Linked DNA regions of Kluyveromyces lactis. The protein of the gene in region 3 purifies or fractionates together with the protein of the main gene of each other region. This does not show direct contact. Links are inferred from orthologs where the notes say so. Each region holds a gene or a part of one and is shown on either strand. Other genes may lie near its edges.

What was found.
Region 1: the proteins of PCF11 (region 3) and PAP1 purify together in Saccharomyces cerevisiae (affinity purification with mass spectrometry; 3 studies listed by BioGRID, with this or other methods). This does not show direct contact. The link is inferred for Kluyveromyces lactis from reciprocal best matches to the Saccharomyces cerevisiae genes PCF11 and PAP1.
Region 2: the proteins of PCF11 (region 3) and YRA1 purify together in Saccharomyces cerevisiae (affinity purification with western blotting; 3 studies listed by BioGRID). This does not show direct contact. The link is inferred for Kluyveromyces lactis from reciprocal best matches to the Saccharomyces cerevisiae genes PCF11 and YRA1.
Region 4: the proteins of PCF11 (region 3) and YSH1 purify together in Saccharomyces cerevisiae (affinity purification with mass spectrometry; 4 studies listed by BioGRID, with this or other methods). This does not show direct contact. The link is inferred for Kluyveromyces lactis from reciprocal best matches to the Saccharomyces cerevisiae genes PCF11 and YSH1.
Region 5: the proteins of PCF11 (region 3) and CFT2 purify together in Saccharomyces cerevisiae (affinity purification with mass spectrometry; 4 studies listed by BioGRID, with this or other methods). This does not show direct contact. The link is inferred for Kluyveromyces lactis from reciprocal best matches to the Saccharomyces cerevisiae genes PCF11 and CFT2.

What each region holds. Positions count from the first base shown.
Region 1 is NC_006038.1:1,160,455-1,166,106, forward strand, and holds PAP1 (polynucleotide adenylyltransferase PAP1), read right to left. Parts: upstream 3,485-5,652; coding exon 1,688-3,484; downstream 1-1,687. Other genes in the region: MUP1 (Mup1p), read right to left, coding at 1-379; dynamin-like GTPase VPS1, read left to right, coding at 5,289-5,652. UniProt on the Saccharomyces cerevisiae protein: Polymerase component of the cleavage and polyadenylation factor (CPF) complex, which plays a key role in polyadenylation-dependent pre-mRNA 3'-end formation and cooperates with cleavage factors including the CFIA complex and NAB4/CFIB.
Region 2 is NC_006041.1:254,271-260,291, forward strand, and holds YRA1 (RNA-binding protein YRA1), read left to right. Parts: upstream 1-2,688; coding exon 2,689-2,943; intron 2,944-4,179; coding exon 4,180-4,593; downstream 4,594-6,021. Other genes in the region: AFI1 (Afi1p), read right to left, coding at 1-1,847; COI1 (Coi1p), read right to left, coding at 5,026-5,349. UniProt on the Saccharomyces cerevisiae protein: RNA-binding RNA annealing protein. May have a role in pre-mRNA metabolism. Component the TREX complex, which operates in coupling transcription elongation to mRNA export.
Region 3 is NC_006042.1:1,242,601-1,248,227, forward strand, and holds PCF11 (Pcf11p), read right to left. Parts: upstream 3,580-5,627; coding exon 1,816-3,579; downstream 1-1,815. Other genes in the region: KLLA0_F13420g (chromatin-silencing protein SIR4), read left to right, coding at 1-1,545; GGC1 (Ggc1p), read left to right, coding at 4,046-4,948; MTC2 (Mtc2p), read right to left, coding at 5,033-5,627. UniProt on the Saccharomyces cerevisiae protein: Component of the cleavage factor IA (CFIA) complex, which is involved in the endonucleolytic cleavage during polyadenylation-dependent pre-mRNA 3'-end formation and cooperates with cleavage factor NAB4/CFIB and the cleavage and polyadenylation factor (CPF) complex.
Region 4 is NC_006039.1:418,355-424,707, reverse strand, and holds YSH1 (cleavage polyadenylation factor subunit YSH1), read left to right. Parts: upstream 1-2,822; coding exon 2,823-5,117; downstream 5,118-6,353. Other genes in the region: KLLA0_C04620g (uncharacterized protein), read left to right, coding at 1-2,003; DBP9 (ATP-dependent DNA/RNA helicase), read left to right, coding at 5,707-6,353. UniProt on the Saccharomyces cerevisiae protein: Component of the cleavage and polyadenylation factor (CPF) complex, which plays a key role in polyadenylation-dependent pre-mRNA 3'-end formation and cooperates with cleavage factors including the CFIA complex and NAB4/CFIB. Has endonuclease activity.
Region 5 is NC_006041.1:1,061,729-1,068,106, reverse strand, and holds CFT2 (cleavage polyadenylation factor subunit CFT2), read left to right. Parts: upstream 1-2,572; coding exon 2,573-5,011; downstream 5,012-6,378. Other genes in the region: KLLA0_E12035g (uncharacterized protein), read right to left, coding at 329-1,936; serine/threonine protein kinase SAT4, read left to right, coding at 6,215-6,378. UniProt on the Saccharomyces cerevisiae protein: RNA-binding component of the cleavage and polyadenylation factor (CPF) complex, which plays a key role in polyadenylation-dependent pre-mRNA 3'-end formation and cooperates with cleavage factors including the CFIA complex and NAB4/CFIB.

The DNA.
Region 1 (5,652 bases), on a different chromosome or scaffold from region 3:
CACCACCGTTTCTTGGGATGGCAGTTCCGAATTCCATATACACATAAAGACCAGCTAATGCAATAATGGCACCCACTGCCCACATGATCAACGCTAAACCAACGGAACCACTCAAAGTATAAATGGTGGAAGATACGGCAAAGATACCGGTACCTAACATCCGATTACAGATTAGACCAATACATGAGATGAGCCCAAGTTTCTTAGATCCCTTATCCAATTCGACATCGAAATGTTCACCTGTTTCAACAGATCTATTGTCATCGCTAGTACCAGTAGGATTGGCGTCTGTATCAAGCGTTTTAGAATCAGTAGATATCTCGTAGTTATCCTTATTGAACACGTTCAACTGCGAGAGAAATGATCGACTACCCGACATCTTGAATGTTCGTCTCGTTTCAGCTGTGCGATGAGATATGTGCTTTATGTCGTATGCGATACACAAAGGTTAACCGATTTGAGAATAACGAAAGCCAAGAAAAGAAAAAAATCTAGATATCAACTATTGGTATCGTATTTATACAATGAAGTGGCCAACTGGCGTTGTCCAAATGACAGATATCGATACATAATCAAAAAACCACACACAACCTTGGGATCAAAAGCTATTAGTAACCACAGTGTGAATTTGAATATTCATAGTTTTACACAGTTTATGTCTTCTACAAGCTCATTGTAAAAACCAAACTACTAAGTAAAGTCTTTAATGTGCTAAAACTAATTATATCAAGTAGTAGCATGCCACAGCTTCCTCTCATCAAGAGAACCAAAAACAAGAAAGAACGAAACAAGGCTTATAACTGAGAAGTGCCATTCAAATAGAGCCCTTCTGTAGCCCAAAACCGAATTAGCTCGATGGCACAATAATTAATACAAAGAAACAAGGGTACAAAGAGGAAAAACGAAATAATTGCGTCAAAAGAAAGCAAAATCCAAGTGCTGGGCGAAATGAAAGAAAGTAGCCTTTCGAAAATGGCCCTTAAATGGCTTCTTGAACCTCTTTGACAGATAAAAACCCTTCACAAGACACTTGTTACCTAAGTTACCTTCAAATTTCAACTTCTTGTTTCTTTTCCTTCACTCCCATTACTCGATCTCTTTCTGTCACGTTGCTTCTTTCTTTTACTGAAAAGTGTGGCTTTCTTTCATCACTATGGGTGTATTTGTAAGTTAAACTTGAAATAGGAACTTGCCTGTTGAATCAACAGCGGCTGAACCAGATGATACTGTTCGGGTATCGGTAACGTCTTGTTTTCTCGGATTTTATCAGTGTCTAACTGGCTAACCTTCTATCTCTTGTGGTTTTCCTTTGACTCTTTTTGTCCGCATCTGTCAATTATGTATCAAGATAAGGCACATAGCTGACTAAAAATAAGTACCAGTTAAACATATTTGATGATAGAACAAAAATATTCAGATTAGAGATGGTAGGTTTATGCAAAACAATGGGGTATGTGGCGGACAGCTTCACTATTATAGTAATGATCTGTTCTTTTCTGTGATATGAGACGTTTTTTTTTTTTTACTTAGTTTATCTAGTGGGAAAGTTGAGTTTATGTGTCGCGTTCAATGTAGAGAAACTTTTGTTAATGACTGGGGCTAAGGCTTGAGGGGAGACTCACGTTGCCTTGGCCATGATGCATTATGCGAACCCTGAAGAGGTAGTATGAACGGATCGTAAGACTTTCTATGTTGTCGCAGTCATTGGGTCTTCGGTGATAGCATTGGTATTACTGTTTGCTGGGACATTTGATGATGGAGTGGAATTAGCGTCATTTACTGGGGAAGAAGAATTGGTGTTGCCACTGGTAGTAGTAGTAGACTTGCCATTGGACGGATCGGATTTAGGTCTTTTACTCTTTTCACCACTTTTCTCCGGTTTCCTCTTCTTGCTGGATTTCACAGGACGTGTTTCCCCCTCTTGGTAGACTTCATCCGGTAAGTCATGCACTTTCACATACTTGATGATTAAAGAATACGTTTCAGGGTCCTCATAGTCGGGTAATGAGCGACACAAATTGAAAAATTCTTGACATGGAATGTGTATATCAATTTTTTTACTCTCTTCTGTGTTGATGTCAAGTCCAATAAACATCGTGGCTATGTGAACTTGATTAGAGTTTTTGGAGGCTTCATCGTCTTTGTTTGCATCAGTTATTTTTGTAAACTTTTTCAATACACCTTCTGTCTTATGTGTACCGTAGTTGTTCATGATCTCTTTATATTCATCCTCATTATTGTATATATAGCTGGACTCGTATGGTTCAATAAATGGATGCGCCAGATTGATTCCTGGTAAAACTTCTAGTTTTTGGACCAACAATCTGAGCTTACTTTCAACGAATCCACTCCATTTCAAGTGTTGTTCGTCGGAACCCTTTGTTGAGACCATAACCGTTAGGTAGAATTTATACTTGAAGAAGAAATCGTGTTTCTTGAACAAATCTTCCCATGATAGTTCATTAGAGAAAATCTTTTGTGTGACCTCTACACCTCTTTGTAATTCAGATAAGATCACTTTCTTAGTTGACTCACTGATGTTGTGGGTAGCACACATTGAAGGGTACGCTGGTGTAATCACAGGCATCTTGTGGGATCTATCCTGTGCATATATTTTGGGGTTCCACACGCGGACCTGTAAAGGACCATCTTCGATTGGCTTCAATAGGACAGGTTGTGGCCATTTCCAACGTGATAAAATCTGAAAGAATTTTGATATTATTACCGCACTGCATGCATTAGGGTACAATTGGCAGATTCTTACCACAAACATCGCCCATGCGACACCACCGGGGAACCCAAAGACGTTTGCATATACTGCTCTTCTCTTTGCCCATATCTTAATAGCTCTTAATGCAATCTTGAAAGATGTTTTATTAGGCACTAATTCTAAAATTTCATCGGTGACTCTGGTACCGTTCAACGCTCTTAGATCCTTTTCATCAACGTTCCTTAACAAATTCTTATCACTTAAAGTTAAACTTATTGGAACCTGGGGTAAATCTAGTTTAGCAAAGATTAAATCGATGGAGATTCCATTGAATTTGATCTTGATAATTGGGACGAAAGCATCTGGAACTGACGCAATTTCTTCAAGTTCTGGTCTTTCCCTCAACAGAGCATCGAATACGGTAAAGAAATCTTCTCTGGATACATGTTTAGGTACCACAATCAACGTATCAATATCGGAACCTGGACCATGGACCCCTAATCTATAAGAACCAAAGGTAAATACTTTACCACCAGCATCACGAGCCATACCATCGGACATGTTTTTCTTCTTTGAAACCTGATATACAAACTCTTGTGTCAATTTTTGGAAGATTTCTAATACTGCCACTCTCTTCCCAGTTTCTTCCTCCGTTTCGAAAGAGCCTTCTTTCTTAAGCTGTTGAATTAATGAATCGTTTAATGCGTTTTCGGCAGCAGTGGGACCCTCCGTGGAAATCGGGCCCGTTACACCAAAGATCTTTTTCTGGGACATTGTATTGGGATAATATTTGTTTCTGTAATCTGGTATATTTCTATTCCTTGCTCTATCCAGATAATCACTTCCCCCGGTATTTAAAAGGCTGTCCGCGGATTGTCTTCTTGGAATGTAGTTCTGAAACTTCTTTGAGATTGGAGACGATGTTGGTGAGTTAGCCGGTGAATAATAAACGTAATGTAGCCCTGGCTGATTGAAATATTGTTGCTGATGCTGCTGTCTTTGATTATAATGGTGGTGATGTTGCAAATGATGCTGATATGTGTTTCGGCTTGTATTGAGATTTAAATGCCGGTTTCTTTGTCTGGAGGGAGATGATCCTACACTATCAGATTCTGAACTTTTTCCCCCTTCCTCTTCTTCTTCTATTAGCCCTACTGCACCTAGTACTACCTCAGAAGTGATATCACAACCGGAAACCTTGAGCCCTGCAAGATCCGAGCTTATTGAATTCAACTGGTCGCCAATCACCGTCCTTGAATTATCGTAAGTGTCCTTGAAAACCTGTGCGTCTTGTACTGAAGTCGACAACCTGAATGAGTTTTGACTTGCTACGTCTTCCTAGATCAGAAAGAACCGTCAAAAGTACTCCTCACAAGTTAATTCGTGATGAGGATAATCAAATAAGTGTCGGATGTGTATAATCTCCGAGAGTTAATACACCAAAGTTCCAATGCAAAGGCTTTTTTCAGTATTTGTGAGTCTGACACTAACTTCTTTTGTTGTTGTTGTTGTTGGTAACAGGTGACCAATATCAAAAGATGTGCTCGTCACTAATTTGAACTAAAAACGTAACTAGCACAAACTATCCAGTTATATTCAGATAGAGAGAGACTGTGTGTATATGTGTGTAGACAAAAAAATCAGCCAGTTAATATTGTATTGTCTGAGAATTCCGTTTCCCTTTATTTCTTTCCTTTACCAATTCTGTCTCAGGAGTGTCCAGCGAATGAAAGAATTAAGAAGTTCAATTTGAAGGTACTGGCAAGTTTGGACCAAAGGGATATGTAGTGTTGGTTTTAACTTTAGCTTCTCCTGTTCACACACTCAAACCAAATAAAAGGTATAGTAAGTTCAAAAGTTCACACTTTGTTATATTATTTCATTTTGTACTAAATTTTTAAAGCCAGAAAAATTCAAAATCGATTTCAAGACCCAGGAAAAATCAATAATTACGTGAAAGACCCCAATCATAAGAATGAGCGAGCTTGAATTTGCAAATTGTATGTTCAATTTCCTGTAAATCTTATCCAACAATAATTCAATTGGAAGTATATGCATATATATAAACGAAAATCCAGATATGGAAGAATCAAGATATTTGATGATTACAAAACCTTTGTATTTCGTGTGTAGATCTGTAACGGCATCCGAAAAAAACAAGAAAACTATCCCATTGACAGTGAAAGTCGGCCTTTATATGGGCCCTTGTAGTTCGTTTGGAAACTCTTCTCCCCGTTAATTTGAATAAGAGGCTACTGGCTAAATAGGCTCACTGACTGTGCTATCTATTGGATACGATCTGGATCCAGTTAGATTGGCAGATCTAACCATTTCCGGGTAATACTTGGTTTTTTCTAACTTTTGGTGGCGAAAAAGGGGAAAAACAAGAAAAACATCAAATCAAAATCAATTCTAGTCAACTCGAGAGAGATATTCCAAATATCTAGAGAGATTTATTTTTATATATACCTTTACTACATCCAAAGTTAATCGGTTAGGTCAGAGATATATTTTGAATTCTCAATTTGTAATTGTAATTGAGATCAAGCCCAATACTGTGAGTAAATAAACTGGCAACATGGATGAACGTTTGATTGCTACGATCAATAAGTTACAGGATGCTTTGGCTCCATTAGGCGGCGGTTCTCAGACTCCGATTGATTTACCACAAATTACCGTTGTTGGTTCTCAAAGTTCTGGTAAATCTTCTGTGTTGGAAAACATTGTCGGTAGAGATTTCTTGCCTCGTGGTACCGGTATTGTTACCAGAAGACCATTGATCTTACAATTGATCAACCGTAGGGTCAAGAAGGAGACTAAGCATGCTACAGAAGAGCTGTTAGATTTGGATAACAGTGCAGCCAATGGTGGTCAAAATGAAGACAATGCAGAAGAATGGGGTGAGTTTGGTCATTTGCCCGGTAAAAAGCTTTTCAACTTTA
Region 2 (6,021 bases), on a different chromosome or scaffold from region 3:
ATATTGAGGAACTTTCCTAGATTCTTCTTGTTCATTGAAATGAATTTGTGGAGTTCTTTCAAATGTTTGTACAAATCCTGAAGCAAACGTTTTCTTGTTTGGTAAGTGTAGTTTGAAGTAGGCCAAAACAATCTCGACATATCAGTTTCCAAGTTGTGTATAAGATTGAGAACTTTCAGGGAGTTGTATTCGAAAATATCAGGAAAGAGTATTAGATCTTTATAATTCAAAATATACTGGTCCTTCAACACCATTTCCACTCCATTAGCTTTATCACCGTCACCGTCTATTAGATGGAGTAATTGAAGGATACTCGCACGCTTGAAGGTATTTAGTACAGTTTCGTTGTCGTGCTGTCCTTTGACAAGAAGGTTTATGACTTTCAACATTAAACCACTTTTAGGGGTCGGCTGTTTAGTTGCTGGAAGTGGATGCACCTGAGAGGTGGTATATTTGTTAAACATTGATCTAATCCCCAGATTTTTCTCTGCATTTTCTTCTTCTGATGGTAGCGCCTTCGAGTTAAGTAAGGAGTCACTATCCAAGTCATAGTAAAAGTCCCATGCATCAACTTGGTATTGGAAAATAGGGTTTGATACACCTACTACACTGAAAAAATTCCCTTTCGTGAACTCCTCCGTGAAGTTTTCTCTGAACATATCGATTATTGATATTTCCATGTATGGAAAAATGCAAATAGAGGAATTATCAAAATACTCCGAAGAAAACCCGTTTATGAGATTGGATAGGGCGAGTACAAATTGGCATAATTCATCCTTGGAACGCTCTGTGGAGTTAATAATTAATCTCCAAGAATATGTGGAATCGGGAATTTCAGTTAAGAGAGGAATTAATCTCGCAAGTAATTTCAAAATTGAATTATTATAATTCGTATCTATTTTTATGGCATCATATTTTATTAGATCAATTTGCAAAGGAATCCTCGTAAAATAAGCAGGTAGAACTTTGGGACGGAAAGTAGAGAACTTATATTCAAGAATCCTGTTTTTAAATTGAATCTCATTTCCGAACTTGTCTTTTTTGGGCAGCTCATTAACCCTAAGTATATTGGGCAAAGAGTTTTCGTTTGCATCAAATATTTTGGATGTAATTTCTTCGTCATTGATAGAGTTTAGAATATTTTGTAGTACAACATTGGAATGGAATCTTATGACCAAAGAGAGATCAAGACTGTTAATCATGTCAAAACAGTCTATAAGTATTTTAATATCGTTGTTATTCGATGTCATGTAGTGATCAAGCACCATTGTTAACAATGGTTTAAATGTGTAAAAGTTTGTCATAGTAGTACCCAGTGCAATGGCTTTTATATAAGCACCGCGATCATTTGAATTATCTAAAAACGTGTTCACGACACTTAAGAAAAATAATGGTGGCTCAGTTTCCTCTAAATGCCTATCATCTCTAATTGATCCAATCTTACCACTTCGCAGTCCATTTTCTTGTTCTTCTTCAAAGTCTTCCTCTTCAATTATCAGTGAGGAATCCAAGTCAGTACCTTTAGTCTTATTTTTGGATACAGGAAACAACTGGTAAACGTTTTGATTCTTGTATAAGACAAAAACAGTGAAATCTGGTTTACCTGGATGGTTCTCCACACTATTCGGTATCATCAAACTGGCCAAATGAGAACAAGTGGAATCACTCCCAATAGTTTTAAAACCAGGGATTGTCTTTGGATATTGATGCTTTATTATCGGCCCAGATTTGTTATCAAATTCTGCCGCTATTATAAATTGAACATTGGGGTTAGAGTGTGTGTGTTCATTTTGAGATTGTCGTAGGTGAAAGTTCAATCCTGTTTTTACCTTGGAAGAGTGTTTCATAACTGGTGAACGCGCGGTCTTTCCTCTTTAATTACAGAGTCAGTCCGTTTACCACCTGACCGTCGTTCGGAGATTTAACTTGCCAGTGAGACGTCTGTATCATTTCGCTGTAAAATAGCACGATTTTGACCCATCATCGTCTTTCTTTTTGAACCGATCAAATAAAATGAACCAAATAATATCGCTAACAGTGAAATAATCATGAAATTACCCGGACTGTAAATGGATTCAATTCGGCTTCTATTCGCTTATGACAGGAAGGCATAGAAGAATGTTTGGATACTAAGCGTTGTAAGATTCCCGCCACAGCCTACTTGGGTCTATCTGCGGAAGCGATCCATTTGAACATAAGATTGATCGAATAGCTGTCTATCTTATATATCAACGGATTTTACTTTTCAGTTGTTGCGGCCTTACAATTCACGAAATAAAGCTAAACGATGTTTGTTGGAAACAAATGAGTCCCCTCGACGAAATTATGGAGCATTATCTTTAGTCTTTGAAATGACTGTTATTCACAAAAATCTTTATCATGTCAGGAATGAAGTAAGTACACCGTTACATATGCAGCAGATCTTAGAAAATGACAATCGTTACCCTCTTTTGTTGATCGTGCTGGTTTTGATTTTCTTGAAAAGAATTGGACAAAAAGTTTGATATTTGATTTTTTTTGTATAAAAGGAGCCATAGATTTTTGCCCATTGGAATTTTTTTCCCTTTTTCCATGAAAGTTGTTCTTCAAATTTCTCTTTGTTTCTACTTCATAAGGCAAGCAACTTTATAAGTTATTTCCTTCGAATCAGCTACCCATCAGATTCTTTTTTTTACACTCTCATAAGCAATGTCTGCTCTAGATCAATCATTAGATGAAATTATTGGCTCAGCCAAGCATGCCAGAAGAAACAACAAGGCCGGGCCAAAGAAGGTTTCTAAGCAAGTCAACAAGAGCCGTACCAGAACAGGTGCCGGTCCTTCTAGAGTTCCAAAGAAGGCTGCTTCTGCTGCTGCCCTAGTGCCAGCTTTGCTAAGAGCTCCTATTTCTACTAGAGTTAATGTCGAGGGTTTGCCAAGAGACATTAACCAAGACGCTGTTAAAGTATGTCCCATTTTAGCCATGGCCTCTTAGTAGGTTCTTTTCTAATGAAAAGGACTGTCGAGATGCTACTGTACTGATTGCGAAAACAAATCGGATCAAACTGCAATAAGACTTGCGGTTAATTTAAGTTTACAACGGATATATCCTGTGGAATTCCATCCTTATGTTTACTATACGATCATACATTCCCGTGTATTTGATTAAGAAGAAACGGTCGATCGATACCTTTTTTGAGGTCTGATATTGATGTGTGAATAATTTATTTCAGAGTTAGTTTTTATTGAGCTAATGAAATATAACAAAACGAAATTAGCTATCCAATTGGCTGGGTTTCGCTTTTCAGCAAGCCTTCCTTTGTGATTTCTTTCCGTTTTTCTCCTCTAAGTTGACAGAACTTTTCATCAAAATTATGCACTGAACTTCGTTTATTTACGACATTTTATTTGATGGAGAAACGGTAGTGAATCACGATTGGGAAATGCCGAAAAGATGAAGTATATCTATTTTTTCTCGTCATATCTTCTATTCTTGTGACATTATGTGTCACTGGAGTTTCTGTTACCATTTATTACATTTGGCAATGCATCTATTTTTTAATGATGCCCAGTGTATTATTCTCTTTTTTCTAACTCTTTGCAAAGAACTGGGAATTTGAAGAAGATTACTTGGTGTACACCTTGTAGGAACAATTAAGTTTGACCTCTTCCTTGGTGTGTGTTTAGCTTGATGCCTCAATCTTCAAGATAGTGCGACATTTTTAGCAAGGTCGTCGTGTTTGACAACTTCAAAAAAATTGGCAAAAATTGAAACGCCACTGAAAAGCAAGTTTCAATGAATGTAATAAATCGAGATGGGTATGCTGGATTTGAAATCGATTTTCATTTGTCATTCTGCTATGAACATGTTCTATCTTGTCTGGTTGAGATCTCATCACTGACTCCAGATTTACTCTCCAAGAAAAAAAATAGAAAAGAGAAAAGTTATAGTATACTTACTTTTTGTTGGTTGTCATGTTAGATCCTACCTTCAAATCGAAACCTAATGAAACCCATTTGTGGTATATTTTACTGTTTAAGAGTTAACTTCATATCGTGACAGAATTGACCGGGTCGTACATGTATGATGAATTGTAAACATGAATGATTTCCTACAGGACTATTCATTGAAGACTCCGCTGTTTTCAGTTATCTATGAATAGTTTCACTAACAAAAATTTTGCTCCCTTATTATTACTAGGAATTTTTCAACCATCAAGTCGGTGGTGTCCAAAAAGCTTTGTTGAGTTACAACGAAAGGGGTAACTCCACTGGTATGGCCACTATTACCTTTAAGAACGCAGAACAAGCTAACTTAGCTGTAAAGAAATTCCACAACGCACCAATTGATGGTGGTAAATCCAAATTGAGATTGACGTTGATTGTCGATCCAAGCAGAAAGACATTATTGGACAGAATCCGCCCTGTACAGAATGCTCAGGCTGCCGCGCCAAACAAGAAGGCAGCTCCAACAAAGCCTCAACCTAAGAAGAAACCAGCCGGTCCAAACAAGAAAGCCATTGCTGCTAAGCAAAAGAAAAGAGCTAAGCCAGAAAAGAAGTCTTTGGAAGACTTAGACAAGGAAATGGCTGACTATTTTGAAGAATCCAAATAAGATATTGCGTTCTTGAAATTACTGGACTGAGAAATTATAAAGTCTTCCTTAATAACGAACGGATTGTCTCTGCTTTCGAATCTATTCGTTAGACATCCTAGAAGTTCAGTTCATTTGTTGTTTGTTTTATATTCCTCAATTTCAACCGGTGTGACTGCGTGGTTTCTCAATCAAAAAAATCCGTATCTTTCTTATGTGCTCGGCCTATCTTTTCTTACCTAGCTAAACTTTATTATAATATTGATATCAATAGTTTGTATTTTATTTCACTTTCTTTAAGCACTATTTACATGAGGAATCTTTCAGTAAAGAACAGGATATATTTCTAGATTGTTTCATTTAGTCATTGCAGTGTTTGTGTGTGTTGTTAATAAATAAGTGTGATGGGTAGGTTCGTGTATTGCCTTGCAGAATTAAAATCTTGCTTATTAATCATTCGTTACTTCTTCTATCCAAGAACCCTAATCTATCACCACGCTTTCTTGTATTGTAGGATAAACCGGCCCCTTCAAATTCACTTTTCCTTTTTATTTCCGTGGTTTCTTCTTCTTTCTTCATGGGGAACCCTGGTTTCACCAGAGCAGGGTTTGCGTAATAAGAATCTGCATCTTTCTTCTCATCCCCACTCAAATTCTGCGGGTCGAACTTGGAAACTTTAGCATCACGTACAACGGTCTTGACGATAACTATAGAAGCAGTAAGACCAATACACAAATACGCAAAGTTTCTACCAATATTTTGGAATGGGTTAGACATTTTTATTGAAAAGATTGTATCTACCAAGTTTGCTCTCTGATGCTAAATGCTAGAAACCAAAAGCCAAATAAAAATAAAAACTCAAAGTTGGTATATGGTTCGTCACTCAATCCGAATAGTTCCTTCTTCCGTTCAGGATCTATTTTTTTATCAACACGCTCTATGATGCTGTTCTCAATCTGTTTTTTATTTAACTGATTCCTCTACTACTTTCGCTCAGTATCTCTGATTCCTGCTCATATTTGAATTCAAATCTTTATTTTCCTTAGATTTCTTTCGCTGAGGAAAGGTTCGCCGTAACCCATTGCGGAAATAAAGAAAGAAAGAAAAAAAATGTTGACCTCATGGTGATTTCACCTTATTCCACACACCATTATCATACAGATTGTAATAACGTTAAGCAACTACCTGTTCATTTATTTATTTGTGCCTAGATATTGACCGAGTTCGAGAAGCTGCAACCTGCAACCTGCAACCTGCAAGAGAAGAGACTAGTATCTTCGGATTGGACGAATTAAGTAGACAAGAAAAATAGACCGTCTCTCAGCATGAATACTCCTAAATCTTTCTGGTATGTTAAGATGACACTGATACAGAATTTCTAACGCACGAGGTTGCTTTATACGCTCCGATCAATTTCATCACTTTACTAACCTTCAAAAAGCGGATGGA
Region 3 (5,627 bases):
AAATGTGAAGATGTCACTCAGTTCAGAAAAGAATATCTAGCATTACGAGCCTCGATATCGAAAGACGATACCTGTTCGTCATCTTTGGTAAATGAAGATTTAAACAAGACTGAAGTTATCCAGAACTTAACCTCTGAAATTATTCAATCTGAGATGAAAATTGCTTCACTCGTTGGTATCAACCACCAACTTCGCGAAAAACTAGAGGAACTTGAGAAGATCCAAGCAAAATTAGTCCAAGAACTTGATACTGTACTTCTAGAATCTAAAGGGTCCTTTTCGGCAGGAACTGCCAAGGAGGCTGAAGTGAACAATAAAGATAAAACTGAATCGATAAATAATGAGCAGGCTCGAGAAAAGTCACTAACAGCTGCTCATGGAAAGCTAATTAGTAAGGTAGAAAAAGACCTTGTAGAAATAGAGGCGTTGAACAAAAATGTAACAGAGCGTTTGTTTGAGATCAAACGGATTAAAGATAGGGAAGTAGAGAATCATCCTATAATAAAGCAGCTCAGAGACACACTTGAAGGTGAAAGAGCTCACTTTGAATCACAGTTGGCACTTGAAAAGCAAAAGGTGTCAAATTTAAAGGCTGCTTTACTGAGCAGACATGGAAAAAATGATATCAATGAAGAAGTTAAGCCGGCAGCTCCTTTGGACGGAAAGAAACTTGAAGAACTTCAAGCAGAACTGTCTAGCACTAGGTTATATGCACGGGCTCAACATAATGCTGCAAAACATCTCCAGACAGAATGCTCTACTTATCGAAATCTATTATCAGAAAAGAAACATAAGTATAATGAGTTGAATTCTAAAGTTGCACTAGCTTCAAAACAGTGCGCACAATTGCGCAGCACGAATGCACATCTTCGTAATAAACTCCAGAGTTTAGAAGACGTGGTTTCAAAAATATCATCTAATACAAAATCAAAATTGAAACCGTCAAGCTATGACAGCCAAAACACACAGCGTAGTATTTCTGGTGGCTCAGAAGTGCAGCAATCATCATTGACTCCTGCGCAGTATGAACAAAATGCCCCAAAAAAGCTACCAAAATCTAACGGGGCGATCACATATATTGATGAGAATGAAATTTTAACTAAAGACATTCTAAACGACGAAGTAAGGAAACTGAATATGACAGTATTAGATCTACAGCGCAGAATCAAAACGCTAACAAAACTTGAAACGAATGTAGGCCCTTTGAGTGTATTTTGTGAAAAAGAAAAGTTATCAATACGTGATGTAGTGGACCGTCTTCACTGGATTAAGAGATTAGAGTCAACTATTGCAAAGATGGCTAATGAAAAAGCGGACATGACAGCTAAAGTCAAGGATCTTGAAACAGCGTTGAGTCAGTCTAAAGAAAAAGTGGACCGTTACGAAGAATATTCGTCAAAATCCCAGAAAGTCGATAAACCTCGGCCTAACGGGGAGGATCCCGTCGCACTCAAAGAAACCATCGTTCGGTTACTGAAGGAACGCAAGAAACTTACCGCTATTTTGAAGAACCAAGCTGAGTCGAAGGAACGTGATCCGAATTAAAGCGTGTCGAGATAAAGAATTCCCGTAAGAAGAAAAACAAAATCCAAAGCACTTCTATGCAATAGATAGCCGTAATGAAATAGCATATGTTTTCTATAATGCAGTTGTAACATTTAGGAAGTATATATATATATAAATACCATATAGCACTATATTATATTCGTACTTCCATTTAGAACGAAATTTGTAGAAGAAAATGGTACGAAATTCATGCCGATAAGCCAACTAGAGTTCGAATATACAATTGATCAGCACTAGCTATTCATCAACTCATTGAAGCAGCTCGTTAAAAATACCAAGATCTAATTGAAGATTTTGGAATGATGGAGATGAGGAGGTGTTTGACTGTTGACTTTTAGCTGCCTCATAATAACAAGTGGCATGGAAGAATTTGTCTCCCACCTGTACGCAGTTGCTCCAAATCCATTCTCCCAGATCTTCATCATATTTACCATATGTGGATTCGGTACAAATAGGACACTGGAACTTCATATCTGTGGCATAATCCGGTACTACAATATATTTATTCCTGAGTTTAGTATAGATTGCATCAGTAGAATCTTCCCTGTTGTTCGCAAATGTAGGTTGCTGTTCAGCAGCTCCAGTATCAATATCTGTTGCAATGATGTCTTCTTCTTTAAAGTCTGCCCATTGATTTTCATCCAAATACCAATTCCTGGATTGAATGACCTTGGTAGATGTAGTGGTGTTGGACTGGATACCTTTAATCTTCTTGTTGACACGGAAATGCCAATCAAGATGTTGTATTTCCAACTCCTTTTCTTCAAGAGTATTACCAAATCTCTTACCACATATACTACATTTATTAGGTTTTGCCCGATATAAGAAATGTACCAACTTTTCCGTAATTGGATGGTTATCATTAAGAACAAACTGTTGAGAAAGCTGAAGGACAGATGCGTTCAAAATATCTAGGTTTTGCGTCTGGCGTTGCGCCTCTAGATCACCTAGAATATCCTGTAAAAGTGAATATGACGGTAGTTGCACTGTCTTGGAGGAATCAAATTCAGGTTCTAATTTGGCAGCTAAGGTAGTAATAGATGCTTCTCCAGGTTCATGCAAGAGCTCTTTTTCTCTCAACATGTTAACCAAACTAGAAAGCTTATTGAGACGGTTAGAGTTGGTCAGTTGGTTCAAAAATGGAGCATTAAATTGAAGGCTTCCTCCGAACATCGAGCCGTTGTTACCGTTCGCCTGGAGTGAGCCACGAGACATATCATTGTTTACAGAACCTTGAGATGATGGCGGCAGAAACTGAGAGTTATTTTGTAATGGCAACTGCTGCTGCTGCTGTTGTTGTTGTTGCTGTTGATGTTCTTGCGCAAAAATCTGTTTGAGCTGCTGATGAACTTGCGACAAAAACTCCGGTGCCAACCGTTCCTTCTGCAACTCTTGTCTCAACTGCTTCAATATCGCTACTTTTGCCTGCAACTTGGCGTCATCCGGTGTACTTACTAGCTTCGACTGCGTAATCAGCGCTAATTTATCAATATCCGACAGTAACGATTTCACAGTAATATTCGACCCAGCCGGTCCGTTGTGAGCGGTATGTTGTTGTATCGCCGGCGGAGTAGCACTTTTCTGATGCAACGCACTAGCCTTAATCAAAAAATTCTCGATGCTGTTCAAAGAACTATGATCGAACATCAAGTCTCCTGCAGGCAATGGCACCATCCACGTTTTGAACATTGAAATCATCTTGGTTCTAGTCTGATTATCCACAAGTAAATAAGTTTTACGGAACAATTTATGCAAATTCTTAGAGAAATAGATCGTATACGGAGAACCAGCGTTCTTACAGATAGAATCCATTACATAGAAAGTGAAAAGCTTCTGACTAGGAACACATTTCTCCAGTCTATTTTCAATCAAACCCACAAACTCTTGTGCTAAACTCATATGTTCCTCTGCTAACTGCGTCAAGGTAGTAATTATAGGCCGAGAGTTAAACGTAAGACCATCCAAAGTGGTCTTAAACTCCTCTAACGCATTAGAACCATCTTCAGAACTCATAGAGAAATCCCAACAAAACTCGGAAAAAAGTGTACCAAAATATAGCAAACAATTACTATTACCACAAACTAAGCCTCTGGATACTAGTAAGCGCTCAAATAATGAATCATACGGCCTCTATTCCTTGCCTCTGCTCATCGTCTTTAAAGGTTTCCTTATCCTAATCCTGCATCTTGTAACGTTTTGCTCGGTTGAAAGAAAAACCGAAAACATCACCAGATCCGGGTAACGAAACCACACTTTTTTCTTTTAAAAAAAACCTTTCGAGATATCGATCAAAGATTCTTTCAAGAATGAATCATCACTGTTTTTATCTATCTTGCCTTTACGTGCATCTGGCTCCTTTCTTTCTCGTGCGAAACTTTCAACAACGTTTATTAAGAGTAGAAGCAGGAATCTCACTAGGTGAAAAGGGTCTTTCTTTTAATTTCTTATCCATTTGAACTAAGAAGAGCTGGAAAAAAAGATGACTACCAACGATAAGAAACAATCGGGTTTGGCCCGTGTCTTAGGTTCAGCTTCTGCTGGTATCTTGGAAATTGGTGTTTTCCATCCTGTGGACACTATTTCCAAGAGATTGATGTCAAACCATACCAAGATTGCCTCGACCTCTCAATTGAACAGTGTTATTTTCCGTGACTTTGCATCTGAACCATTGGGTAGACGTTTGTTGTCTTTGTTCCCTGGTTTGGGGTACGCTGCTGCCTATAAGATCTTGCAACGTGTTTACAAGTACGGTGGTCAACCATTTGCCAATGAGTTTTTGAACAAGAACTTCAAGGGTGATTTCGATCAAGCTTTTGGTGAAAAGACCGGTAAAGCCTTGAGATCTGCTACTGCCGGTTCTTTGATCGGTATCGGTGAAATTGTGCTATTGCCATTGGATGTCTTGAAGATCAAGAGACAAACTAACCCAGAGTCTTTCAAGGGTAGAGGTTTCCTAAAGATCATCAAGGATGAAGGGTTTGGTTTGTACCGTGGTTGGGGTTGGACCGCTGCCAGAAACGCTCCAGGTTCTTTCGCTTTATTCGGTGGTAACGCCTTCGCCAAGGAATATATCTTGGGTTTGAAGGATTACGGTCAAGCTACTTGGAGTCAGAACTTCGTCTCTTCGATTGTTGGTGCTTCTGCTTCATTAATTGTCAGTGCACCATTGGATGTTATCAAGACCAGAATTCAAAATAGAAACTTTGATAACCCAGAGAGTGGTTTCAAAATTATCAAGAACACTTTGAAGAACGAAGGTTTCACTGCATTCTTCAAGGGTTTGACTCCTAAGCTACTGACCACCGGTCCAAAGTTAGTGTTCTCCTTCGCTCTGGCTCAAACTTTGATTCCAATCTTTGATAACTTGGTCTCTAAGAAATAAACCTTGGATTCAAATACAAATTCATGTAAATAATGTTATTAATTGCTACTATTCAATTCTTTTTTTCTATATGTATAAGTCTCTTCAAGTCGCTGGAATGATATCCTTCATCACGCTTTGAACTATGCAAAGCTGTTTGAACAAAGGATTCTTGTATTCTTGAGCCATCTTAATGGCAAACGTATCAAACCTGTTGATAAGTTCGTCAACCAGTTCTTCCTGAGACCCGTACATGACACTAGGGTCCTCTTTCGAGGATTCTATCAACTGAAGATGCCAGGGAAAATATCGTTCACATGCAGTTTGAACCATATCGGGAGTAATGAACGAGGATCCAGACGTCAAAGCGATCCATTTACAAAGCAAAGTCATATCACTGAGTGACCTAGAATGTGCTCCTCCACCCTGGCTAGGTTTACTAAGCCTATGCATCCTAAGGTGAACTATTAGGTCTAATATGTACCTTCTTATCGAATGGTGCATATATACAGAGTCCACTATGGATTCTGCGACCACGGAATCCTGCCATTGACCCATATCTTCACCACATGCGAACCAGAATTGATGCCTTAGATAAGGGATCATAAGTGGATTATCTTGTAACACTAGTATAACAGGAACAGTGGATTTGTGCAACCACAGAGCAAACCTATTTTGCAACTCATAATCGATTTCAGCA
Region 4 (6,353 bases), on a different chromosome or scaffold from region 3:
TGGCTAAGCATGAACATGGGGTTCATTTTATCAATCAATCTTTGAAACTACGTCGCATTGAATCTACTTTCGTAGAAGAACTTAATATTATATCACAAAAGCCAGGTTCGTCTTCTTCCAACATTCCGAATCAGAAGCGAATGACTACAGCTGAAATATCTAAAATACAGGCACAATTGCCGCAAGTTAAGAAATTCTTCCAAGATTTAGAAGTATGGAGATCTAAGTGTTCCATTACACATGTCAGAAACTTCGAAAACGAAACATTAAAGTTATACTACTACAGATCGGTGAGGCTTCTACTACAGCCTTACTTAGAATTGTTGAAACCACATGACCGGCTCTTCAAAGAATGTCAGGCAGCTGCTGGTCAAATTTGCCAGCTATATAAAGTCTTTCATCAAAAGACCGTTTTCGGTCATTCTACCCCTGCTGTGCATACCGTTTTTGTTGCTGGTGTCACATCCATTTATTGTATGTGGCTAGCCAGGAATTGGGATGATGAAAGAAGAAGGAAGTTAGGTGATGTTTCCAAACATACTAGACCTCTTGTCAGCGCACTACTATTTTCTACGATGGATGATCTAAGGGCTTGTTCTGTGTGTTTGTATGTAATGGCTGAAAGATCAAAATTTGCAATCATTTTCAGGGATACGTTCGACCAATTGATGAACGCAACCATAGGTAACTTAATCGAACGTTGTGGCCCAGATTCCTCGGAACTAATTTACGTCACCAGTTCTAAAAAGGGCGAGACTACTCCTACTCTAATATCCATTCCAGATAGGAATGCTGACAATGATGAAACTTCGAAAGATATAGATAGAAAGGGGATGCCACCAGCAATGAAGAGAACGTTTGGAGAGTTGCAAGTATCTGCTCATGCTGGGTTTGTCGAAAATAGTCAAATTGATCTGGAAGAGCAAAGAGAAAGAAAGCGTAAACAAGGTGTACTTCAAAAGACTTCTGTTCCAAAATCTTTATCACATTTGCTTGTTAAGGTAGAGGATGAAGATGATGGAATCGATGACAGCAAAATAACGACTTCGAAAGCCTCATTAGCTCATAGCCCCGATGAGTTAAGCAAAGTCGACACTCGTTCCACTTCTGAGATGGTAACACCACCAGAACAAGTCACTGCCAGGAACAAATACATTGTCAAGAAGCCTGCCAATGTCACAGAATCCGACTGGGAAATATTCCAGCAGCAAGCATTTTTGCAACAACATCAAGCGCAGCAAAATTTACAGGCCTACCTTTCTTCATTAAATGGTGCTTTCGAGAATAACAATGCGCAAATGATGCAATCTGCCAATGGGATGGGGTCTCATGTGAATAATAGGACAGCAACTACTCTGCCCCCTCAACAAAATCAAAATTCATTAAATCCCATCACTCAGAATCATCCTTCACTGTTTAGTGGTGGTGCTGATAATAAAGCATCCGTAACTTCATCTGACATGTCTTCCCCAACCGGCTGGCAACACGGAAATGCAGACATTTTCCAAAAAAAGCAACCAGCCAACTTTGTAAAGTCTCCTAACACACCGTTGCACCCAATATCATTCTCCGTCGGTCCTTCACCCAGGCCGAACGATAATGGTATAATCTTCAATAATGGTACCCATACGATGATCAACAACATCTCCACATGGACCAACGACTCGGTTTTGGATTTGATGAACAGTAATCATTACGTAGATCCACTGAATGGAGGCAACAATATGGGCAACCTAAACGGATCTTTACAATCATCAGCGACAACAAATGATCAAAAGACTTTTGTCATGCCCAATCGAGACAACAATCCTGGCACTCTGAATAACTCCCTGAATTGGAGAAACTCTTCATTTACCAACATGAATATGAACTTCAATCAACCAGATAATCAGCAAGGTCAAAGACCACCGCAACAGCAACAACAACAGCAATTGGAAGCTATGTTGTCAGTTCCCGTTGAAGAATTTTGGACCGTTAACGACGATTATGGATTCCTCACTTGAAGCCTTCAATTCAAACGTTGAACACCTCTACAGAGGATATTCCCCGTAATTAAAGAAAAAAATACAACCATTTTTCATACTAAGTGTTAATGTCTTATGTTTCCGTCATTCCACAACATTTCGTTTTCATTCTACTCTTTCCTTTTAATTCAAAGAGTATTCACTCGTTTTTAGTTGTAATATATATCTAGCAAAAAAATTTGTGTTTACATACATTCTGCAGTTTAATTCGTTTCATTCCATTTTACCAACACACTTGCAGTAATTTAGCCAGATGTGACCTGATCCAAGTAAATAAATCTAGTCACGTGACCTATCCTGTTCCCTTTACCCTTTGTTTCATTCTGATATATTGTCGATCAGAAATTCTACATATTATTATTTCAACATCTACATAGTAAGGGAAAACAATCAGTTTAAGATAGGTGTTAGAACCCGACAAGCAGCAAGATTCTCACTAGAAACAGTACGTAACGACATTTGTTATCAAGATGTGTTCTCAAATCATCTTAGGTTGCCTTCAGCCCTCTCTTTACTAACTTTTCGTTATCAATATCTACCTCTACTCCCTCTGTACACCAATATGCTATTTCCTAGTTTCTCACTTTTTTCTCACTTTTTTCTGTAAGACATTAAAACCAGTTAACGTTTATTGAAAATCTTAGCAATTCAACATAAAGAAGAGTGTCCTGTCCAATGGTTACCGAGCAACCTCTGTTGGTATTCGGGCACTCATAACAGATATCGGGGGGCTCAAGCAGACAGTAACTTTTGACGTGTTTGTGAGAGCATTTTGTCTGTCCTTTGCATTGTCAAGAAATGACTCAATTGGAAAATGAGGTTCCAGACAAGGACCATCTTCGCTTTTTCTCACTAGGAGGATCCAATGAAGTGGGGAGATCGTGTCATATACTTCAGTATAAGGGCAAGACTCTAATGTTAGATGCAGGTATCCATCCGGCCCATCAAGGTTTAGCTTCATTGCCCTATTACGATGAATTCGATCTCTCCACAATCGATCTTCTTTTAATCTCACATTTTCATCTTGACCACGCGGCATCATTGCCTTATGTGATGCAACGAACGAATTTTCGTGGTAGAGTATTCATGACACATCCGACCAAAGCTATATATCGTTGGCTTTTGAATGATTTCGTCAAGGTGACCAGCATAGGAGACAGTCCAGGACAGGATTCAAGTAATGATAATTTATACTCTGATGAGGACTTGGCTGAGTCCTTTGATAGGATAGAAACTATTGACTATCATTCCACTATGGAGGTAAATGGTATTAAATTTACAGCGTTCCATGCAGGTCATGTTCTTGGAGCAGCGATGTTTCAAATTGAAATCGCTGGTGTTCGTGTATTATTTACTGGTGATTATTCAAGAGAAGTGGACCGTCACCTTAACTCTGCTGAGGTACCACCTCAGTCTTCGGACGTCATAATTGTGGAAAGTACATTTGGTACCGCTACTCACGAACCAAGACAAAACAGGGAAAGAAAGTTGACCCAGTTAATACATACCGTGGTATCTAAGGGAGGACGTGTTCTTTTACCGGTGTTTGCCCTTGGAAGAGCTCAAGAAATCATGCTTATATTAGACGAATATTGGCAGAATCACAAAGAAGAACTCGGAAACGGGCAAGTACCTATCTTTTACGCATCAAATCTTGCTAAGAAATGTATGAGTGTCTTTCAGACATATGTTAATATGATGAATGACGATATTCGTAAAAAATTCAAAGATTCTCAAACAAATCCATTCATCTTCAAGAATATTTCTTACCTCAAGAATTTGGATGAATTCGAGGATTTTGGTCCCAGTGTCATGTTAGCATCCCCAGGTATGTTGCAAAACGGTCTATCTAGAGACATTTTAGAAAAATGGTGTCCAGAAGAAAAAAATCTGGTTCTTGTCACTGGTTATTCTGTAGAAGGTACAATGGCAAAATATTTGTTACTAGAACCTGAGGCTATTCCCTCGGTACACAACCCTGAGATAACTATCCCAAGACGTTGCCAAGTGGATGAAATAACATTCGCTGCTCATGTTGACTTTAGGGAAAATTTAGAATTTATCGAGCTAATTGGAGCTAGCAACATCATTTTAGTTCATGGCGAATCCAACCCAATGGGTCGTTTAAAATCAGCCCTTCTTTCTAATTTCAGCTCTCTCAAGGATACTGAAAACGAGGTTCATGTTTTCAATCCTAGAAATTGTGTCTTTGTTGATATTGAGTTCAAGGATGTTAAGGTTGCCAGGGCAGTTGGGAAAATTATTGAAGATCTCGATGAGTTTATAACTGAAGAAGACGCACTAAAGAATGAGAAAAGAATCACGGAAATCCATGAAGAGGATCCAGAAACAGAGGAAAGTAAAACGGAAATTGTCAAAGAAGAAAATGAGAAAATAGTTTCAGGTATATTGGTGTCAGATGAGAAGAATTTTGATCTAAGTTTAGTTTCGCTTTCAGATTTAAGAGAACATTATCAACAATTATCTACTACAGTTTTGACAGAAAGACAGACAGTCCACTTGGACTGTAAAAGCGAACTAGTATATTGGCATATCTGCCAAATGTTTGGTGACGTAGATGTATACATTGACGAAGAAAACGTCTCATTGAAGAACATCAATCCCGAATTCAAGACGAGGAAGATAAAGAAGGGTGAACTAGAAATAAAAATCATGGGAGATGTAATATTAAATATAGTTGACAATGTAGCTACATTGCAATGGACTCAGAATGTTATCAGTGATTCAGTCGCGGATAGTGTCATGGCAATTCTACTGAGTGTCGAGAGCGCTCCAGCAAGTATCAAAATGAGTTCGAAGTCATGTGGACATCATCATGGACACGATGATCACACGACTAAAATTAAGAACATATCGAGAGTTTTCAAGGAACAGTTTGGTGATACTTTTACATTATTTTTGAATGAGGAAGACTCCAAAGAAGAAATAAAAGGCACTATCAACTTAGGAAAAACAACAGCATGTATAAACTTCTCAAAAATGGTTGTGGAAGAATGTAACTCTAATCCATTGAAAGGTAGAATAGAGAGTTTATTAAAAATTGGCTCCGACTTGGTGGCCCCATTGTGTTAATCTGTCTCATATATAGATATGATTATATATGAGCTAGTCATTAATCATCTTTTTGCATTAACTATATACTTTTCAACCCTATACTGCCATCTTGCCAAGGTGTTCCTCTGTACTAAATAATCTATTAAAACTTTAAAGATGCATTCAAGTTTCAATTAACTGAATGAACATATCGTTTTCGACAAGTTACAAAAGACACCAAGAGGACAAAAAACCATTTACTAAACTACTAAACGCGATATATATATATATATTCTCATTATAACAGTAAATTTTAAATCAATCTACCAATACCATGGCAAAATCAGAGCTACAGTGAGGTATTTCATTCACATTGCCAATCCAGAAGAGACAAGATAACTCAATCACGTGACTCATAAATCCTTTTGCCTGTGTAGTTTCTTTTTGCACCTCAAGAAAATTTTTGGGAAGCTCATCTCATCTCATCCAGAGTCTGAACGTACAAGAGCTGTAAAACAGGCTAAATGGGTCTCAACTATCAGCAGCATTAACCTTTTGATCGAAACTTACAACCGAGGTTATAGTTAAAGTGTTCGACGAGAGCTAGAGTCCAGAAAAACGCTTCAATATGGCTCAAACAAGCGCTTCCCAGGGATACATTGATGATTCTTCTTCTTTCGATTCGTTCCACTTGGATTCACGTTTATCACAAGCCATCCGCAGTATCGGCTTCAAACACCCTACTTTGATCCAATCCAGTGCGATACCATTAGCTCTTCAAGAGAAAAGGGATATCATAGCGAAAGCTAGTACCGGCTCTGGTAAAACTTTAGCATATTTGATACCAGTGATTCAAACAATTTTAGATCATAAGAAGGCAGATCAGAATGATGAAGGTGCCACTCTAGGGGTAATATTGGTCCCAACTAGAGAATTGGCTCAGCAAGTTTTAGAAGTTGTTGAAAAGCTCATTGTTTTCTGTTCTCAAGAAATTAAATGCTTAAATCTTTCATCGGGTAATGTATCGGGAAACTTATTGAAATCTTTACTTACCGAAAATCCAGAAATATTGATAGCTACGCCGGCCAAGTTAGTAGATTTACTAGATGCGCAAGATGTTAATATTGACAGGTTGAAGTTCTTGGTTATCGATGAAGTTGATTTGGTGTTAACTTTCGGATACCAAGAGGACCTTACGAAGATTTCAGAACGCTTACCATTGAGAAAGAGTTTACAAACTTTCTTGATGAGTGCCACTCTAAATGACGATATCCA
Region 5 (6,378 bases), on a different chromosome or scaffold from region 3:
ACCTAGCTCGATAATGTAAGATAGTGGTTTAGGATTGAGGAGTATGTGCTTTTTCCAATGCCTATATGTTCCCTTTAATGATGAGAGATTAGCCTTTGTAAGCTTACATAATCTCCTGCCCTTTTGGCATGGCTGGGCCATGCAACGAGATTGCAATTAGGGTTTTTAGAAAATAGTCTGCAGTGACCGTTACCGATCGTGAGCCGATCTCCTAAGGTGCTTCCAGAAATAGTATGCGAGGTTTCATTATAGGGATACTCGGCTAAATCATTCAATCATATACAGATATATACAAATTCATTAGAAAATACTACGTAGGCTCTGATTTTTATGCATTAGTATCTATGAATTCGATAACATCATGCTCGGACAGGTTAACGTAGTTGGCACCATTTGTAGAAAGTAATGGATGCAGTAGCGACATTGTACCAACGGGCAATTGAAATACTCGTTCTCTTGTTTCGTCCATTCTTTCTCTTATAATAGATAATTGGAATGCTTTCAATTTAGGGATACAGAACCGTATCTTATTACGATTCCAATCTAGTTGTAAACTTTCGAGCAGATACAAAGATCTGTCCCATTCACGAGCCTTCTCTAGCTCTCTTGCTATGTGACTTTCGTTTATCGTAAGGCACAATTCAGAATCATTTGTGAGATTTGGAATGATCACATGTTGAAATACGGCGCAGTCCCAGATGCTTGAAAGTTCGAATTCCAACCTTTTCAATTCTTGGATTACCTGTTTACAACCGTATATGCTTCTCATTTGATCCGGCTTACATTCTGGTGGTTTCAATTCCTTGTCGTCTGAATTCAAGACGAGGTTGTCCAACGTGAATGGGATCTGTGCGAGGTTCTGTAGTGACAGCATGTTTGAGATTTTGAATATGATTGTATCAACGTAAATTGAGTTTGAATAAACCAAATCTTCCCATTCTGTATTCACTGGACACCTGTAAGACCTTAGGTTCCCAAAAGCACAATCGATGAACTTGACGTTACCCCAGACACTGTTACTAAATTCGACACATAGGGATCGAATGTTGCGGCATTTGATGTTCTTGAAATTGGCTTCTGAACACATTGGGGATGCCCTGATTGTCAAAGATTCTCTCACGAAGGATCCATCAACAAGATCCCTTTCAGTGTTACTATTGTAACTGACGAGAGTTAAATGGTCGCATGGTGGTAATACAACTCTCTTTCCTGGTGGCACTTGGAATTTTTCAATCGTTTTAAGCAGGGGACAGTATTGTAGATCATCGACTATTGTAGTGTTATCCTCACATTGCAATTGATTCACTGTCATAATCCTAGGTGCAATCACTTTCTTACCCCTTCTTATGTTCAAAGTGAACAGCGTTTCCACGTCATGTAAATAAGTAGTCTCAAATATCGTGTCGATATCAAACATGTCAACTTCCTGGTGATTAATATCTCGGTTGGCGAATATATGTAATTCACATAATCGTAGTTGGCTTTGACAATGGCTTAGCTCTCTGAAATAGAACTTGGAAAGGAAATTGGTAGTCGTCTTATACATGAAGCATAGATTCTTTAGAGTACCCATCCCACTTAGCCCTCTACTTAATTCACATAATGCCGTCGCCAATGGGTCACTGTAGCAGCGATCGGATACGATGACAATGAGAACGTTGTCAAACTTCCGTAGAAATTCGCTCAACACAGGAAACTTGAACGTATCTGTATTTACGCAAGCGGTGTTTCTCTCATCAGATAACAACTCATAATTGCAAGGATCTGCTAAGGTTTTTGATGATTCCCTATCCAAATCCCAAATCTTCAATACACCAAGCTTGCGCTTTATAATTGTTCTAAAATGTGAACCAACCTTACTCCATGCTAACAGACTCTCTAGACTGTCTAGTCCGCTAGTTACTACACGATCAATAATTTCGATCGGAAGACTCATTACTTTTGTACCCTTAAATCTTCTTCTCCTCCTTCTTATCATTAGCAAATCTGTCAAAAGTGTCAACTAATGCAGCTTATCTTGCACGTTGTAAACTAGGTCCTTATAATTCAACTGATTTCAAGTACGCTGGTATATCCAAGATGCCTTTAGACTTCTTCCAGTGTTTGGGTCAGTTGAGCAATCTGTTCCGTAATCTGTCGCTTTATTCTTTAATATGCTGACTCAACCTCAAAGAACGTTCGGAATACATTTTGACACTTAAAGTACCGATAAAATTGTGGATTTTGTTGCCTATAATTGTAAGCAATGAAATATGTTTGATATTCCACCTACTGGACCGTACCAACCTACAGATTGCAGCAGTATCTCGTCCAATAACAACTTCCCTGTCTCAGTTTGGCCTCTTAATCCTTCTTACTGACATTATATCTCATTACCCGGACATAACATGTCAAAATGATACTCAAGGCATCAACATTAAGTTCATTTAAACAGTACATGCAAATAATTGAAGAATGAAGGATAAAGGAAGAAGAAGAAGAGATTGCCGGCACTGAGGACACCTTTTCCTTTCCCATTCCAACCAGTGGATTCTCATTGTTTTTCAAATATAGAAGTAACTGTGCTCTCAAGATGACATACACCATCGAAACATGTAGGGATGAGAAGAAGCGGTTTGAGGGAACCATTGTACGATTCAACAATGTAATAGTATTATTGGACCCAGGATGGAACGGTGAAGGCAGTTATGAAGAATGTGAAGAGTTTTGGACGCAGTACATATCTGAAGTTGACATTGTTCTGATTTCCCAGCCCACAATTGAATGCCTTGGGTCCTATGCCATGATGTTTAAACAGTTTTTGCCTCATTTTAGGTCGAGAATTCAAGTTTATGGGACGTTACCTGTATCAAATCTAGGCAGAGTCAACAGTGTTGACCTTTTAACTTCAGTTGGGATATTAGGACCGTTTTCTAATGCCGTCATGGACCTAGAAGATATTGAAAGCTCCTTTGACTTGATTGAAACGGTGAAATACTCTCAAACGGTGGATTTAAAGAATAAATTCGATGGGCTCTCATTAGAAGCACATAACTCAGGGTATGCTCCCGGTGGTACCATTTGGACGATAATCACTTCATCAGAAAAAATATTGTATGCGCCTCGTTGGAACCATACAAGAGATACTATCTTGAATAGTGCGGACCTATTAGACAATACTGGAAATCCAACCAGTTCCATGATGCATCCGACTTCTGTAATAACCAACCTTTCTATTATAGGCTCAGCTGAACCTCAGAGGAAAAGAGTAGAACATTTCACTGATACCATGAAAAGAGCTATACAAATGAATAACTCTTTACTGGTACCAGTTGAAGTAGGAGGGAAACTATTGGAAGTACTAGTCCTAGTTAACAATTTCTTATATGAAAATATGAGGGGTGGATTGAAGTATGATATTCCGGTGTTTCTAATATCTTATTCAAGGGGCCGTTCTCTCACATATGCTAAATCTATGTTAGAATGGTTGTCCTCGCAAGTAATCAAGACCTGGGAATCTCGAGACAATCGGTCTCCATTCGATGTTGTATCTAGATTGAGGATTATTACTCCTGAGGAATTGGGAGGTTACACTGGGCAAAAGATCTGTCTTGTTTCCGAAGTTGATGATATTTTGTCACAAACGATAAACAAACTTTGCTCTAAAGATAAAGTAACGATCATATTGACAGAGAGACATCCAAATACCCCAGCACAACATCCCTTACGAAAACTTAATGATAAATGGCAACAAGCAATAAAGAATGGGAGTAGAAGTGCATTGGATGGCAACCCCATTAGCATATCTGATTCGATGTCACTTCGAATCATGAAGAGAACAATTTTAAACAAGAAGGATGCGGAGAAGGTGAGAGAAATGATTAAAACTAGAAATGAGGTAAGAGAGAAAATTATCGAAGAATATACGGCTAAGACCAATGACAAAGCTCAAACAAAAACAATACTTTTTGATGTTGATGATGAGAGTAGCGACGAAGAAGGTGTGGATTCAATGGATGCAAGAGGCAAGAATGGATCGGGAAACGTTAAAGTGGAGATTCCCGTAGATATTACTTCCAATGATAGTGTTTCCACAAATGAAAAGCACCTTATGTTCCCATTCCATCCAGCAAAGCTTAAATCTGACGATTACGGTGATGTGGTCAACTTAAAGAGATTCTTACCACAGGAAGAATCATATGACCAAGCACAATCTTTAAAGCAATCTTATAGTAATAACGATTATGATGAAGACGATGACGATGATACATATGAGGTACTTGATTCGCGGATTAATAAATCAAAGAAAAGAAAAACAGATCATAATCCTAGGAAACAAGAAAATAATGATGATATTTCTTACTTGGACCCATTGAAAAGTGACATTTATAAACGAGCAATTGTGGAAACAAAAGTTAACATTCGTTGTTCTTTGGTATATATCGACTTGACAAGCATAGTTAATGCGCGGTCGATAGCAATCATCTGGCCTGCAATCAAACCAAGAAAAGTCATTGTGCTGCCATCAGCTGCTCCTGTTGATAACCAAGTCGTGGTTAATCTAACAAAGAGAAATATTGACATATTGGTGACTGAGTTCAATAATTCGGTTGAGATGGATACATCTGTCAAGGCAATTGATATTTCTATCGATCCATCGCTCGACCAACTTCTAAACTGGCAAAGAATCAGTAAATCTTTCACTGTGGCACACGTTGTTGGTAAACTATTGACAGAAACTGACCCAAAAGCCCCACATCGGGAGAAGGTTATATTGAAACCGTTAAGCAACCCGTTAGCTTTACATTCTGGAAGTTCTCTAAGAATCGGAGATGTTAGACTACCGGAATTGAAAAGAAGACTAACTGCGGAAAATCATAAAGCTGAGTTCCAAGGTGAAGGTACACTAGTGATTGATGGCAAAGTTTTGGTTCGGAAGATTAATGATGCCGAAACCATAGTTGATGGTTCACCATCGGACGTATTTTACAAGGTCAAATCGGCAGTGTCAGACATGCTAGCCAACGTTTAAATTGTTCGCGGAAGCTTTCTATAAACGTGACATCGACTTAGATATTAATTAATTATAGTAATTTAGCATTGTAGTAAAGCATTTATAGATCAGTTGTAGAGCTGACCAATGGGGTATGTATGTCGGGATTCAAACATCTATTCTAGGTCTGGCATTCTTTATCTGGGGGGGTTAGAGGGCAAAAAATATACTCCGCGACGGGGAATTGAACCCCGATCTCGCACGCGACAAGCGCGAATTCTAACCATTAAACTATCGCGGATCTGTACTTGAGAAATAGAAAAACTTTGCACTACAGGTTCGCTCAACGGTTGCAGAACACTGATTTCGTTGGAACTAGTCATAATGCATGACCGGGTGATACCAATATAATAGGCGGTTAATGATAGTTTTGTGTCACTGACACATAGCAAAGTATATAAACCAGTACTCAGATCTAATCTACTAATTAGTAGGGATCAGATCTACAGACACCAGGTGCATCTAATTCTACTAGGAGATAGATAGCTAATCAAGATGAATTCTTCTAATAAAGATCTGACAAGATCTAAGCCACGTGACATGTACAGTCATATACCACAACAGGTAGCCCGAATATGAAACTCAGAAAATCCCGATATTCCACAAATACGACTCCGTGGCCAAGCTGGTTAAGGCGTGCGACTGTTAATCGCAAGATCGAGAGTTCAATCCTCTCCGGGGTCGTTTAATTTTTTTCCCCTTTTGCTATCTGTTGTTTTTTTTTCCTTTCCTATTTCTCACCTGTTGCAATTTTTCTGGAATTCCCGCTTAAAGATTCTTTTTTCCTCTGAGAAGTCTCTGAGAAGTTTTTTTTGTTTAAAGTTTTTCCCCTTCGAAAAGAGCGCTCGCTTGTTAATTCGCTTGAGAGTTGCATATTTTCTTTATTTTTTTGTTTATTTCATTTACTTATTTATTTGGTTAAATTTCAGTTGTAATTTGCTTTACTTCATACAAGTTTTGTATTTTGAGCAATAAATTTTACACCGTTACACATCTCTTCGCTCAAAAAAAACACAAGCAGCACAACAAAATACATACACATTATCAATTTATTGCATTTGAATAGAACTTACAGTTTCTAAAGCTACCGCCGGTTTTTTATCCAATCTTTTTTGGCTATTTTCCAGCCGCTCCGAAACAAATACAAATTATTGCATCTTTTTTTTTTATTGCTTTTGGGTGATGAGCATTGATACGCTGCCATCACAGCTGGCAGCTGCGCCAGCACCTGCCGCCGCAGTTACTGCTTCCATACCCAGGAATCCATCAGATCCAGTTGATGGCCTGCCAAAGGCAGGCCATTTACAGCAGCAGCAGCAGCAGCAGCAGCAGCAGGCTTCTGTGCT